2 linked regions of the Mytilus edulis genome follow. The protein of the gene in region 1 binds, or shares a complex with, the protein of each later gene. Links are inferred from orthologs where the notes say so. Each region holds a gene or a part of one and is shown in the gene's direction. Other genes may lie near its edges. The genes, in order: WD repeat-containing and planar cell polarity effector protein fritz homolog and protein inturned-like.

Region 1 (7,119 bases):
CCATTTGATAACTTATTCGATCCATATAAAATCATTCTAATACGGTTAAAAAACAATAAGAAACATATATGTTTAATCTATAAAATGAAATCAAACAGACCTATAACAATCTAATTGCGCGTGTTGGTTTAATCTATTCATATCTTTATTATGTTTACATCGCTTATATGGTAATTTGAGGTCAAGTCGATAGTTAATTAGATGGCGTGTGGACTAAAATTCACACGAAACGAACCTACATATTCTCTACCCCATGCTCTGTAAACTGTTTCTTTTGGACTTTTGGTAGTTTGGATAAATTTTTTACATTGTTATAAATCAAATATGAGAATTTGAGACAAATCTGTGACCATGAATTTGACAGCTAGTGCCCCTTTAAGAAAGAATTTAAACAGGACTGTTTTCTTGGCCGTGCCATAATGAAATAACCAACCCAACCGCAGGTAGGGCACTTTCGCCTACTTCGTGGGAAAGTGAGGTAATGTTTTTTTGGAACTTATCAAAGCAATTGTTTATAAAATCCACAACTACCATGTCACATTGTTTTACTTGAACTGCTAAAAACCTATGATATTTTTTCACCAAACGCAGTACCCCGAATTTATAGAACTTATAAATAAACCGTAGGTCAGTTTATTAGTAATCACGTTGATTCTGTTAAACTTACTGTTTTATATACTTCTTTGAATGTTAAAACAGATGCATTGAGCTGAGGACAACCCATGCTTTGCAAATTTTAGGCGGGGCGCACGCCCCCGCCTAAAGCCGCCCCTGATTAACGAACTATAAACTGATTAAATATAAAATTTAGATATGAATAGCATTAGCAGAGACATATAATACAATTGTATTATACAAATACAAATACAAATACAAATATTTTATTGGCACAAACACAATTACAATAATTGGCAATGGCCCATACAACTGGTATACAAATAGTAATAATGCATAGAATAGCAATAGGCATATTTAGAACAATATCATCGAACGATATCAATATCATCAACAGTAAATGATTAAAAAAAAAATATATCAATTACATAGTTGGTCAAACATATTAAGTATTGAAAATAATGACAATATTAATATGTAATATTATGAACAATGATTATTAGCAATTTTATAGAGTTTGTTCTGCTTTACGCAGGTTCAAACTGTCTGAGATGAAAGAGGAAGTTAATTTTAGGATTGTGTATGAATTATTATTTAATAAAAAGATTATATTATTTTCATGTTTTTGAAATTTTGTAGGATCAACGATTATATTTGAAACTTTATGGTAAAATATGTCCCTCTTAGTTGAGTATTTTTCACAATGTAAAAGAAAATGTTTTTCATTTTCAATTTGACCAGAATTACATACAGAGCAGTATCTCTCATTTCTGGGAATATTTAGATGTCTCCCTCTTTCAATCATCAGTGTATGAGCGCTTATACGGATCTTACATATTGCAGCTCTGTCACTTCTGTTTTTTAATATATCAACATAGGGTGGTCTTCTGCCCATTATGTAGACACTTTTGAAAAAGTCAAACTTTTTGGATTCAAATATATTTGCATTTTGAACTTGCAAACATTGGTCATTAATTCTTTGTTTAATAGAATTTAAATTACCTTTAACATAATTAAAGTTATTGATGATATAAGACATTCCAAGTTCATTCAAAAGACTCTTGACCTTTATGACCCAAGGGTTTGAATTACAGATTTAGTGAATATATCATATGCCAAAGAATTTTCCGAAGAAACTATATGGTTCAGGTAGTTAAATATTGAATATAATATTTTATTTTTCAAGGGAATTCTATTAAGTTCAGCTCGACATCCATCATTAGATGCCTTACAGTGAACCCCTAATATGTCTTTGATAAATTTAACATGAAGTTTTTCAAATGGATCAGAGTCTTTAAAATGTGAATCCACCCCCCAAATTTCACTACAATATGTAAGAATGGGAGTAACTAAACAATCAAACAATTTTTCAAGAAGTCTACATGGGTTGTTGAGACCTATAGTTTTCTTTATTTTATAGTATGCCTTCCTGGCTTTTTCCATTAGAGTATTCACAGCAAGGCAAAAATTGCCATTATACTTTAAAACAATACCCAAGTAACAATAATTTGTTACTGTTTCAAGATATGCATTATCATAAGTAAAATGGTTTAACAATGTCTTGCCATTAGAATTAAATATCATAATTTTTGATTTATCAGTATTAACTTGTAGTTTCCATGTTGAACAATATTCATGTAAAATATCAAGAGATTTTTGTAGACCCTCTTTGCTTTCAGATAGTAAAACAATATCATCTGCATATAAAAGAATGTTCAAAGAGGTATCCCCAATAGCAACTGGATCCGTATGTTTGTCATCAAGATTACCTACTAGATCATTTATAAAATAGTTAAAAAGAAGTGGACTCAATACGTCACCTTGTTTAACACCCCTTTCTGATAGGAATGGAGGACTCAACCTATTAGAGAATTTTATTCTACTTACTGTATCAGTATACATTGAATAAATAACATTAAAATTTTTTTGGGGGATATTATGTTTTATGAGTTTAGAAAATAAACCTAGTCGCCATACAGTATCAAATGCCTTTTTTAAGTCTATGAAGGCAGCAAAAACTTTTTTCTTTTTTTGTCTATATTGATCAGTTATGGTCTTAAGAGTGAATATGTGGTCAGCTGTACGACTTTTCTCTTTAAAACCTATTTGATTTTTACTTATTAAATTTTTGATATCCATAAATTTTACTAAACGTTTATATAAAACTTTATTAAAAAGTTTACCTAGGTTGGAACTAATAGATATACCTCTATAGTTCCCTGGATCAAATTTGTCCCCTTTCTTATGCAAGAGAACAAGTAAGCTCTCATTCCATATTCTCGGAAATTGACCAGATTCGAATATGCTATTAAAGAGTTTATGAAGTGGTTTTATTAAGATGGGGATTGCATTTTTCAACATTTCATTTGAAATCATGTCGGCTGATGTGCTTTTGCCATTTTTAATTAAACGAATAGCTGTTACTATCTCTTCAATTGTTATCTCTGAACTCAAGTGAGTTAAGTCATCTGTAACATGTGATAAATTAAACTTTTCTTTTAGAGAGTCAAAATCTTTAATAATTTTAGAGTGAAAACTATTGTGATTTATGTCACAGTTATTCAATTTTTTATAAAACTGGATGAAATCTTCTTGTGGTAAAGATTCATTTTCTTTGTTATTACTTTTTTGATACTTAATTTATTCAAGATGTTCCAAAACATCTTTGGGTCTTTCTCACATGTATAAAGTTCTGAAAATATATCTTTTTTGTATTTATTTTCTTCATATTTACATAGACGTCTAAGTCTAGATCTGAAAGAATAAAATTTATGTCTGTATTCAGAATTATAGGGATGTTTATTAACTAACTTTGCATAATTTTTTACTGTAACGCCAAGTTCACGGCAAGATTCAGAGTACCAAGGTCGTCTTTTTGACCTATTTTGATTTTTATTTCTGACTGGGACTTTCTTTACTAGTTTTGCAGACTTCAAAGCATTTTCATATAGTATATTATTAAATGAATTTACTGCTGATTCAGAGTCTTTAAAAGTTGATTTTATATGTCTCTGGCATTAGTGATAACAAAATTTGAAAAATAAAAATTATTTTCCTTTTCCCGCTCATTCAATTTTGTTTTTAATCTATTTATAAAGAAAAATAATTAAATCCGATACTGTTATAGTAGTCTCAGTGATTAGGTGGTGATATATTATAAGTTATCTACGTTCATATCCGTAGATTTGCAGATGGTTCACTTTTGGAGTATTTTATGCTTAAAAACATTCTGGCAGAAATACTGATATTTTCCAAAATAAGGAAAGCCCTCTACACCCCTGAATATAAGTCCGACAAACGCTATGACTATGTGGAATGAATGACAACAAATCGGACCAATATGTTACAAACAATATAATATGTCTGTAACATTCCGATCGGTCCCGGTTTAAGTTAACTATGTTTTAGCATAATCTCAAGGTTATCTCCCTTGTAGCAAAGGAAAACAAAGTTGAAAGAATTTGAAAGAATGCAAAATTACATTTAGGTTCGACTTATGGTATAATTTTTAAAAATTAAGACAGTCGGATATAAACGGATACAGGACTTATATTTATGCTGTTCATGAACCTATGAAAAATTCATTGACTTTTTTGGATAACATTTTGTCTTTTGATTGGTGAGTCTCAGACCACAGGGGCTTGTTACAATTGCCGGGTTTACTATCCATACGAACCCCTAAAACACAGATTCGACTCTCAAATTCCTCCAAAAAAATCTGGAAGTTATAAAACTCAACGAGGGATAAATGCAAATTTAATTAGCCACATTATTTTTTCCTATGAGAACGATCAAATCCACAATTTTAGTTTTGACACTTCACATTATTGAATGTTGATATATTATTTTTATGGCCCCGCAAAGAAGTTGTCAGTGCCATATAGTTTTACCCTTGACCGTAATTCTGAAATTACGTAATTCTGTCATTACACAACAAACCATTATATACAGAGTTTTTTTCTAAACGCCTTCAGATATTGGGCTGAATTTCGATATGTAAGTTAACCATGATGAGGTACAGATCAAGTTTAAGTTTCGTTCCACTCCACTAATTTTTCAAAAAAAATTACGGGCTTTGGACTTTGATAAGTTGGTGAAAATCACAGTTATACAGAGTTTTTTTTCTAAACGCCTTCAGATATTGAGCTGATTTTTGATACAGAACTGAACAGAACAGAACATATTTTATTTCCAATTTAGGGCCCACAAGGGGCATACAGAGCATACATGAATAAGGAAAAAGAATATTGATTTGCATAGATACATAGATACAAACAATTTTTTACATACAGTTACAATACAATTACTAACTCATATTTATTAATTATCACATGGTGATATGTGAGTTAACCATGATGAGTTACAGATCAAGTGTAAGTTTTGTTCCGCTCTGCTAATTTTTCAAAAAAAATTACAGGCTTTGGACTTTGAAAAAATGTTGAAAATCACAGTTATAGAGACTTTTTTTCTTAATGCTTTCAGATATTGGGATGATTTTTGGCATGTAAGTTAACCAAGATGAGTTACAGATCAAGTTCAAGTTTTGTTTTGCTCGGCTAATTTTTGCCGAAACTACAGGCTATGGACTTTGATAAATTGTTGAAAATCACGGTTATACAAACTTTTTTTCTACATGTTCTAAATGCTTTCAGATATTTGGTACGTGAGTTATCCATGATGAGTTACAGATCAAGTTAAAGTTTCATTCCGCTATGCTAATTTTTGCTGTAAAATTTGTGGCTTTGGACTTTTATATATATTTGAAAATCACAGTTATACAGACCTTTTTAGCGGGACAAGTGAGCTTATGCCATCACTTGGTGTCCGTCGTCGTCCGTCGTCTGTCGTCGTCTGTCGTTGTAAACTATTTCAAGAATCTTCTCCTCTGAAACTACTGGGCCAAATACTTTCAAACTTTAACTGAATGTTCCTTAGGGTATCTTATTTATAAATTGTATCCGAAGTTTTGATCTATCAACAAACATGGTCGCCATTGCTAAAAATAGAACATAGGGGTCAAATGCAGTTTTTGGCTTATAACTCAAAAACCAAAGCATTTAGAGCAAATCTGACAGGGGTAATATTGTTTATCAGGTCAAGATCTATCTGCCCTGAAATTTTCAGATGAATCAGACAACCCGTTGTTGGGTTGCTGCCCCTGAATTGGTAATTTTAAGGAAATTTTGCTGTTTTTGGTTATTATCTTGAATATTATTATAGATAGAGATAAACTGTAAATAGGAATAATGTTCAGCAAAGTAAGATTTACAAATAAGTCAACATGACGGAAATGGTCAGTTGACCCCTTTAGGAGTTATTGCCCTTTATAGTCAATTTTTAACCATTTTTCGTAAATCTTAGTAATCTTTTACAAAAATCTTCTCCTCTGAAACTACTGGGCCAAATACTTCCAAACTTTAACTGAATGTTCCTTAGGGTATCTAGTTTGTAAATTGTATCCGAAGTTGTGATCTATCAACAAACATGGTCGCCATGGCTAAAAATAGAACATAGGGGTCAAATGCAGTTTTTGGCTTATAACTCAAAAACCAAAGCATTTAGAGCAAATCTGACATGGGGTAATATTGTTTATCAGGTCAAGATCTATCTGCCCTGAAATTTTCAGATGAATCAGACAACCTGTTGTTGGGTTACTGCCCCTGAATTGGTAATTTTAAAGAAATTTTGCTGTTTTTGGTTATTATCTTGAATATTATTATAGATAGAGATAAACTGTAACAGCAATAATGTTCAGCAAAGTAAGATTTACAAATAAGTCAACATGACGGAAATGGTCAGTTGACCCCTTTAGGAGTTATTGCCCTTTATAGTCAATTTTTAACCATTTTTGTAAATCTTAGTAATCTTTTACAAAAATCTTCTCCTCTGAAACTACTGGGCCAAATACTTCCAAACTTTAACTGAATGTTCCTTAGGTTATCTAGTTTGTAAATTGTATCCGAAGTTATGATCTATCAACAAACATAGTCGCCATTGCTAAAAATAGAACATAGGGGTCAAATGCAGTTTTTGGCTTATAACTCAAAAACCAAAGCATTTAGAGCAAATCTGACGTGGGTAAAATTGTTTATCAGGTCAAGATCTATCTGCCCTGAAATTTTCAGATGAATCAGACAACCTGTTGTTGGGTTGCTGCCCCTGAATTGATAATTTTAAGGAAATTTTGCTGTTTTTGTTTATTATCTTGAATATAATTATAGATAGAAATAAACTGTAAACAGCAATAATGTTCAGCAAAGTAAGATCTTCAATTAAGTCAATTTGACGGAAATTGTCAATTGACCCCTTAAGGAGTTATTGCCCTTTAAAGACTTTTTTTCACAATTTGTTCATCATGTTGACTTACTTTAAAAAATCTTCTCCTTTGAAACTGCTGTATCAATTTCAGCCAAACTAAGGCTAAATGAGTTTCAGAGTATCTAGTATAAATTTTATATTTTATTTCCTTGTATGTCAAGAAACATAGCTCCTATGGCTAAAATA
Region 2 (7,932 bases), on another chromosome or scaffold:
AATATAACACGACACCATACGCAATATTTCGCTTATAAAGTGAATATTTAAATATATTTTAAGGGAATTTGACTAAAACATAGTTTTACGGATAACTGATATCGAATTCTAAATAGTGTATATGTTATTGCATATTATTGTAAAAGTTGATAAAAACAAATTAGATAAATATCATTTACAAAGTATCAATACTTTTTGTTTATTGTGTAAATACATATATATAAAGATTTCTCGATCTTCAGAAAAGGAATTGATTTGTACAGACCAACGTTTTGTTCGTTTCGAATTGCGTGACATTCTGTCATTGAAAAGACAGATCACTTTCGACTGACTACGACATATTTTCCACCCTATAACAAAACCTTTATTGGGTTTTAACTCTTACATGTTCAATATTACTATTCACACAACTTTATTTGTTTTTACAGATAGTATTTTGGAACTTTAAAGTAAAAGGCAGTTAACAAAAGAATTGATGACAGATTTGAATTTACAAAAACGTAATTGACTAAATGGCACCCAATAACAGTCCATTCAGAAAAAGTATGTTCGGATTAAAAACTCCTATGTCAAAATGTCGGAGACGGGATAATTTGGAGGATTTTGATGGAATAAGAAGTATTCTTTCGTACAGGTATTGTAAAATTATTATGTTGATTTATGTATGTCTCCAATCCCATTTGGGTAAAAATGTGCATTTATTCAATAAACTAATTGAATTACGTTGATCATGGCTGCCTTGAAAATGATAAACGGTTACATTTGGTCATATGATTTGGTCACCATTATTTGGCTACATTGGTCGAACATTTGGTTTACTTATCATTCATCTACTTCGGTATTGACTGTGATTTTAAGGTGAAGTCTTGTTGATACTAAAATATGGTCGTTAAAACAAAGATTATCAGTTGATTTACAGTGTTTGGTTTGAATATATTGTTCGTTTTCATTAGCATTGTCATGAGTATTACCATTGACCTTTTGAACTTCCAAAACAAAAACAAAAAAGCACTAGCAAAATATTTTTTAATCGGCAACGTTTTTGTTTATGTTCAACATTAATCTGTTTCTATTTTCATTTGTTCGCGGTTCTGTCTTCTCTATTGTTTCTTAATTTTCTTTTATTTTTTGTTCTTTTTTTGGTGGTGTTTGCATCACTTCTCTTGTCTCTGCTTTTACAGTATGCGTAAGATGATACTACAATTCTTTATAATATTGAAAATGTTTAGAAAAAAATATTAAAGTTTCACGGTCACTCTACAGATATGATATGTAAAGATACATACTCCTTTACCCCAAATGCAATAAATTATTTGTTATTTGTATATTAATTTTGACTTCTCGCTTCTTGATTCACACCTTATTGTACGATTTTTTTTTCAAATACTCATTGAAAGTAAAGAGTATTTTGAACAACAAATAACATTATTGTGTTGTATTTGATGTAGCATAAGTCAATATTATATCTTCACTTAGAGAAGATACGAAAGTTATTTGTATTTTGTTCTGTGAAATAGTTAACTTTGGACTATTGTTTTCAATCAAGAAATTAAACAAATAAAACATCTAGTTCAATGCTAAATTTCATGCGATATTGTTGAAATTATAACAAACAAGACTAAGTCAAAGCTAAATAAAATAAAGTATGACTTCGAGTGGCATTCTTAGTATCAAGTACTTACGTCAGCGGTAGTTAAAAATAATCTGCTTTTATTCTTAACCTTCTTCATCTTCTTTATAAAATATTAACCTACCGCCTGTCATTGTGATTGGACCTGTTTAAGAGATTAAATTGTGATTTTAAAAGAATGAAAACACTTGTGATATTGTTCAACAAATAAAAAGAGTCAGAAGATATAAGCTTAAAGAGTCTTTTTTTTTTTGTAATTTTACTGTATTAAATAAACACACCATCTATTCTAGATCAAATTGTTTTAATGTTATGTTGAGTTTGACGATCCCGGTAGTACGCTTCAAAACAAGAAAAAAGTTATGTTTACAAAATAAATTTTAATAGATGCGGATGCAGATTTGTGAAACCGAGTTTTAATTAATATTTCTTCTATTGCAGAAGTGACACTTGTTTGGGCACAAATATTCACGAATTGTAGAAGAAAAAAAATGTTGGTTTTAATGGTTAATTCAAAATAAACTTAAAGCCTCAGCATTAATTCAGAATCATTATTGTCGTCTATGTTGTCTTGTATTGCTATTTTCGTCATTCTAAATGGTAAGATGTAACAGACTATATTCACTGGCACTTGTCTCAGAAAAAAGATATTTCCTATATACCTTAATAAAAAAATCTGACACAAGTGCTGTGGCTATATTGCCACAAATTATATGCGTGTAGATTTTCGGTATTGACCTGGATAAAGGGGGATAAATCAAATATCCAACATCGTTGGAATGTTCATCTTTCATATTTAAAATATGTGAAGTACAATGCAGAAAGGGTTGTTCTTGCAGATAAAAAAATGTGCACTGCTATATATAGTTATCAAATGTACCAGGATTATGATTTAATACGCCAGACGCGCGTTTAGTCTACATAAGACTCATCAGTGACACTCGACAGAACAAAATAGTAATAAAGCCAAACAAGTACAAAGTGGAAGAGCATTGAGGACCCAAAATTCCAAAAGAGTTGTGCCAAATACGGCTAAGGTAATCTATTCCTGGGATAAGAAAATCCTTAGTAAAAAGAAAAAAGTTTTTTTATCAGGAAATTTATAAAATCACCATATAGTTGTTAAACGTCCACCAGCAGTGGCATCGACCCAGTGGTGTAAATAGTTATCAAATTAAGGTACCATGTGTCTTGAAAAGAATCATTAATCGTTGCACACAATAGAATAATATAAAAAAAAAGATGTGGTATGAGTGCCAATGATACAGCTCTCTTTCCAAGTCAAAATTTGTAAAATAAAAAACGAGAAACATTTATGAACCACACCAACAAACGACAACGACTGAATATCAGGTTCCTGACTTAGGACGTACAGGTGCAATTATGATTACTTTTTTTATCAGTTGATTGTGTTGAAAAATGCCAGCCACTTTTATAAAAAAAATGGTAGTTATAAAAAAAATAGCAACGTATTTTTTTTTTTTAATTACGCCCACCCAAGAATTTAAGTCATCTCTTTAAGGTTTTGTGTAAAATTTAATACTGATTTATCAAAAATAATGTAAGTAAGAGAACACAAAGACACACTTTAAAATACCAATTGAAGTTAACATGGCCTATCCGAATTATTCAAGCAATGTTCTTCAACTAATCAAGAAATAGAAAAGGTTTTGTCGACCAACTGGTTCGTCAATACAAACCTCGTTACAAACTTCTTTTAAAAATCATAATTTCTCTAACATTGCGTTATACTATCATATTAGGTAACACCAGCAGGTAACATCTGATATCACATCTAGGATTGAAGAACATAATATTAGAATCACTGCAATCCTTAAAATGTTCTTCATTTGCCAGTAAATTTTAGGGACCCTAGCTGTAGCCTTCTTCCGATGATGGATCGATATGGTTCTGTCATTTAGGGTTAGAGTCACATTAGCAGGGGTGGATGCAGGAATTTTCGAAAGGGGGGGGGGGGGGTGCTAACCCAGGGCAAAGGGGGGGTGCAAGGGGGTGCAAAACATATGTCCCGATACAAATGCATTGATCGGCAAAAATAAAGGGGGGTGAGCACCCCCGGAACCCCCCCCCCCCTGGATCCGCCACTGCATTAGGGTTATTAATCAAGATTAGGTCTTGTCTTAGGGTGATGTATTAGTTAAGGTGATGTTATGGCTAAGGAAAGTTTAGTTAAGCTCTATATCGGGTACTCAATGTTCAACGAACTGGACGGAGTCTGATTAAGGCTGGCTTGCAGTTCAAACATTAATTAAACTCAATCATGCTTTGAAAATTTTAAGCCCAGTGCATGTATCATCTATGTTGGGGTTTTTTTAATCGTTTTTATCACATAGTTTTTAATTTTGCCATTTGATTACAGACTTTTCTTTTTGAATTTTCGGTCCTCGAAGTTTTGTATTTTTGTGATTTTTACTTTTTAGAGAGAAAAATAAGAATGCAGAAATGAATTCTTCTTCTTCTTCTTTAGGTTTCTAGCGATCCTTCAATTATTGAAGATTATTCGCCGGGCGTCGACTATAAAATTTATAATTTACACTTTAGCAACAAAAATCAAAAATAACAAAATCATAAAATCAAAAAATCAACATAACGTATTTACATTTGAAAAAAATGAATTGTGATAAAACTATATACATTTGATTAACAGAATTCAATAGTTAGGGATAGAATATGGGGATGAGAGCAGATTCTGAGATCATACTCTTGAATCCCTGTACTGTACTGTACTGCATGATACTATTTGTTGTGGCAGATGATTCCAATTTATAACAGTTCGTGGATAAAATGAATATTTATAACTGTCTTTGGATGTTTGTATTTGCCTAAATGAGTTCCCAATCAAGACCCTCTTTTGAACAAGAGATTTGTCTAATATCAGTTGCAAGTCAGTTATATGTGTGTATATGTCAACTATATATAAAAATAAAAGTACAATAGATTATAAAACGAATTGTGTAAGATGTGTAGAAGTTGTGTTTGTTAGTTTAAATGGGATGAGGATTTCCCTTATGGGACCCTAATGGGAAGTCTTTTGTGTTTGAGTTAAATTATTTAACCTTAACTTCAAAGCCCCGGATGTAAACAAAATGGAGGACAAAAATTTTGTCAACCTAAATTTTGAAGTTGAAAACACAAAAATATAATAACATGGCACATTATCACAATAAAACACCCTTTTATAATCCTAAAAATGACAATAGGGTAAATTCTAATCCAGGGAAAACTGAAAGTCCAAACCAAGGAAACGCATTTCACGTTGGGAAAATTGAAGCTAGAAATCGAGATCGGACACAACTTCACAACAATGAATTTTCAGTCGTTAAATCGTCGTAAGTGTAAACAATGTTAAAGAAAAAATGATTTTTATGAATAAATACATTTTAAATCATAGATTATCTGGCAGGTTCTAGGTCATGTACTCGTGTCTTCCTGAAGCATGTGAAGACTAGTCCAAATAATTATCACTCTTGAAACTGAAAGGCTATTTTAGTTTTGCTTTGAGGCCTTTACATACACCTTATTGCTATTAGCCTTATCGGCCAGCTCACCCGGCTGCTTGAACTTTTGACGCATACAACAATCCCTTTTCCATTGTGGCGTCAGATATTTTGTTTTATGACGTCAAAATTTTACTGGAACCTGTGTGATATCCAGTAATGGCGGACAAATAGCGATAAGCTGTATTGACGTCGACTTGTCAAAGCAAAACATAAAATAGCCTTTCAAGATGTTTTAAATATTTGGACTACCTAACCTATTTGTTCATGAATGTATCGACCAACCAGTATAGGTACAAATGTAACTCATTACATGCATTCAGAATAGACCTTATCGCGGCAGACGCTATTTGTCCCCCATTACTGGACATCACACAGGTTCCGGTAAAATTTTGACGTCATGCATGTCATACTAAATATATGACGCCACAATGGAAAAGTGACTGTTGTACATGTACATGTATGACGTCAATAGTTCAAGCGTAACAGATTCTCGGTCAGCCAGGATTAGCAATAAGGTTTATTCATATGAGTAACAATACATGTTTTATCATCATTCTTTTCAGCAATAAGAAAATATACAAATATTTGAGTAATCCTATATGCCTCATATACAAATTTGAAGAAAAGAAGAAAATTTGTTGCATAGGGGGAAATAAGGGATTTATTAACCCCATGTTTTTGAAGGCCTCTATGTATAATTATGTTAGTGGTGGTATGACCCAAATCGATCCTTCTACTGTTCATAGGCTTCTAATTTGATTTATACTAGCTTTGTATTAACATTGGGAATAAACAAAATACATGTACTGGAAAATGCAAGAATATCCTCATAGTCAAAACATTGTATCAGCATTGTCCAGCTAATCACCATGTGGCATCTTATGCTACATATATATAAAGTAGAATCCAAGTAAATACTAATATTTATTATACAACTCAAACGATCGAACTACAGTTACAGAATGATTATAATCCTAATAAAAGCCTTATTAAAAGAGGGACGAAAGATACCAAAGGGACAGTCAAACTCATAAATCTAAAACAAACTGACAACGCCATGGCTAAAAATAAAAAAGACAAACAGAAAAACAATAGTACACACGACACAACATAGAAAACTAAAGAATAAACAACACGAACCCCACAAAAAACTAGGGGTGATCTCAGGTGCTCCGGAAGGGTAAGCAGATCCTGCTCCACATGTGGCACCCGTCGTGTTGCTTAAGTGATTACAAATCCGGTAAATAGTCTAATTCGGTAGGTCATATTCATGAAAGGGAAGGGGATTGTAGTTACGACGTAAGGAACATATCCGATATCATTTGTGAAACGGTTATTCCATAACGGTCAACCAACTCGTGATGGCGTCCGTAAAATTTACGAAGGGATGATTTCAACTTCACCATTTGGAACTCTTGGTTTAATAGCTTCCTTGTGAGCAGCAAACCTCTATCAAGAAAATCATGATAGGAAATGCAAGCACGGGAATATCGTATCAATTGGGAGATATATACCCCGTATGCAGGTGCTGCTGGAATGTTGCTATTTAGAAATGGAAAGTTCACAATTGGAAAGCTGAAATCATCTCTTTTGTCGTAAAGTTTTGTTTTCAACCGACCCTCATTGTCAATTTCTAGATGTAAGTCAAGATATGAAGCCGACTTAACTGTATCTGTAGTATCCTTTATCTCTAGTTCGATTGGATAGATGCGTTCCACATAGTCACTAAATTTTGAATTGTTTAGTGAAAGAACATCATCTATATAACGGAAAGTAGAGTTAAAGGATATTGCTAACTTCTTATCTTTCTTCCTAAGAAGTTCCTGCATGAAGTCAGCCTCATAATAATAAAGAAACAAGTCGGCGAGTAGAGGGGCACAGTTTGTTCCCATTGGAATGCCGACAGTCTGTTGAAAAACACGTCCTCCGAACGTAAAAAATATGTTGTCAATCAAGAAATCAAGCATCTTGATAATATCAGTTTCAGAGAATTTTTTGTTTGAATCAGAGTGATTCTTTACAAAGTAGGATTTATCCCTCCCTAAGACAAGATACTTGTATCTACGTTGGCCATTCTTTTTTATGAAGCAAAGTAATATCAACTCTTTCAATTTGTCTTTTAGTTTGGAATGTGGAATACTTGTGTACAGGGTAGAAAAGTCAAATGTTTTAATACTGTTACAAGATGAAAGAGAGTTAGATTGTATGTACTCTAAAAGATCTTTTGAATTTTTAAGTATCCACATCTGATTCAGGCCACCTCTAGAATAGGCAGTTTCACAATAACTTTGAAGCCCGTCTTTGATTGCTGATAAAATAGATGTTAATAATTTATTAAACCATGTGCAGATAATGAACCTGTGTGTGGTGGAAATGATAGATACATAGAAACTGTCACAGTATCAATTATCAGCGGATGTAACTGTTTATATTAATGTCACTACACACCATAAGGTACTCTTTAACAGTTAGATATATATAAAAATGTTCAGATCCTTTTTTGACCCGTCTGGTGTAATCAGATACAAATTTGCAGGAAATCATATTCTATATGGTGTTTTACCTAAAATCTTGAAAGAATGAAAACCAGTTAGAAGTTTTTTTGCTGCAATATGCATTTTGTTGAAAGTGTATCAGTGCCATGGGCATGGGACATGTATAAAGACAAAATTCGACTATTCTCCCACTTATCCTCCCTTCTGCCCAATCTGGAGCATTGAAATATACAACTCAAAATGTTATGACATCAGGGGCGGATTTAGCCATTTTAAAAAGGGGGTT

Evidence for each region.
Region 2: the proteins of WD repeat-containing and planar cell polarity effector protein fritz homolog (region 1) and protein inturned-like are in contact, whole or in part, in a cryo-EM structure (PDB 7Q3E), measured with the Mus musculus proteins. The link is inferred for Mytilus edulis from reciprocal best matches to the Homo sapiens genes WDPCP and INTU. Residues at the interface, in NP_663400.2 of Mus musculus: Phe3, Cys4, Leu5, Ile24, Leu51, Ser54, Arg55, Asp56, Lys93, Leu385, Ala386, Glu387, Asp388, Tyr389, Ile427, Lys446, Leu447, Gly448, Ile449, Leu450, Thr451, Arg452, Gly453, Leu455, Leu462, Gln463, Ile465, His466, Tyr467, Gln487; in NP_780724.3 of Mus musculus: Val481, Gln484, Val488, Asp491, Ser495, Asp496, Glu498, Ala499, Ala500, Asp501, Ser506, Glu507, Asp508, Arg513, Arg514, Thr517, Ser532, His533, Leu534, Pro535, His574, Tyr593, Glu610, Gly613, Cys614, Ala615, Ser616, Lys617, Ser653, Pro654.

Annotation. Positions count from the first base shown.
Region 1 is NC_092346.1:82,336,188-82,343,306, forward strand, and holds the start of WD repeat-containing and planar cell polarity effector protein fritz homolog, read left to right. Parts: upstream 1-4,015; 5' UTR 4,016-4,114; exon of another isoform or gene 4,115-4,234; intron 4,235-7,119. UniProt on the Homo sapiens protein: Probable effector of the planar cell polarity signaling pathway which regulates the septin cytoskeleton in both ciliogenesis and collective cell movements.
Region 2 is NC_092351.1:28,384,642-28,392,573, reverse strand, and holds the start of protein inturned-like, read left to right. Parts: upstream 1-4,710; 5' UTR 4,711-4,798; coding exon 4,799-4,980; intron 4,981-7,932. UniProt on the Homo sapiens protein: Plays a key role in ciliogenesis and embryonic development.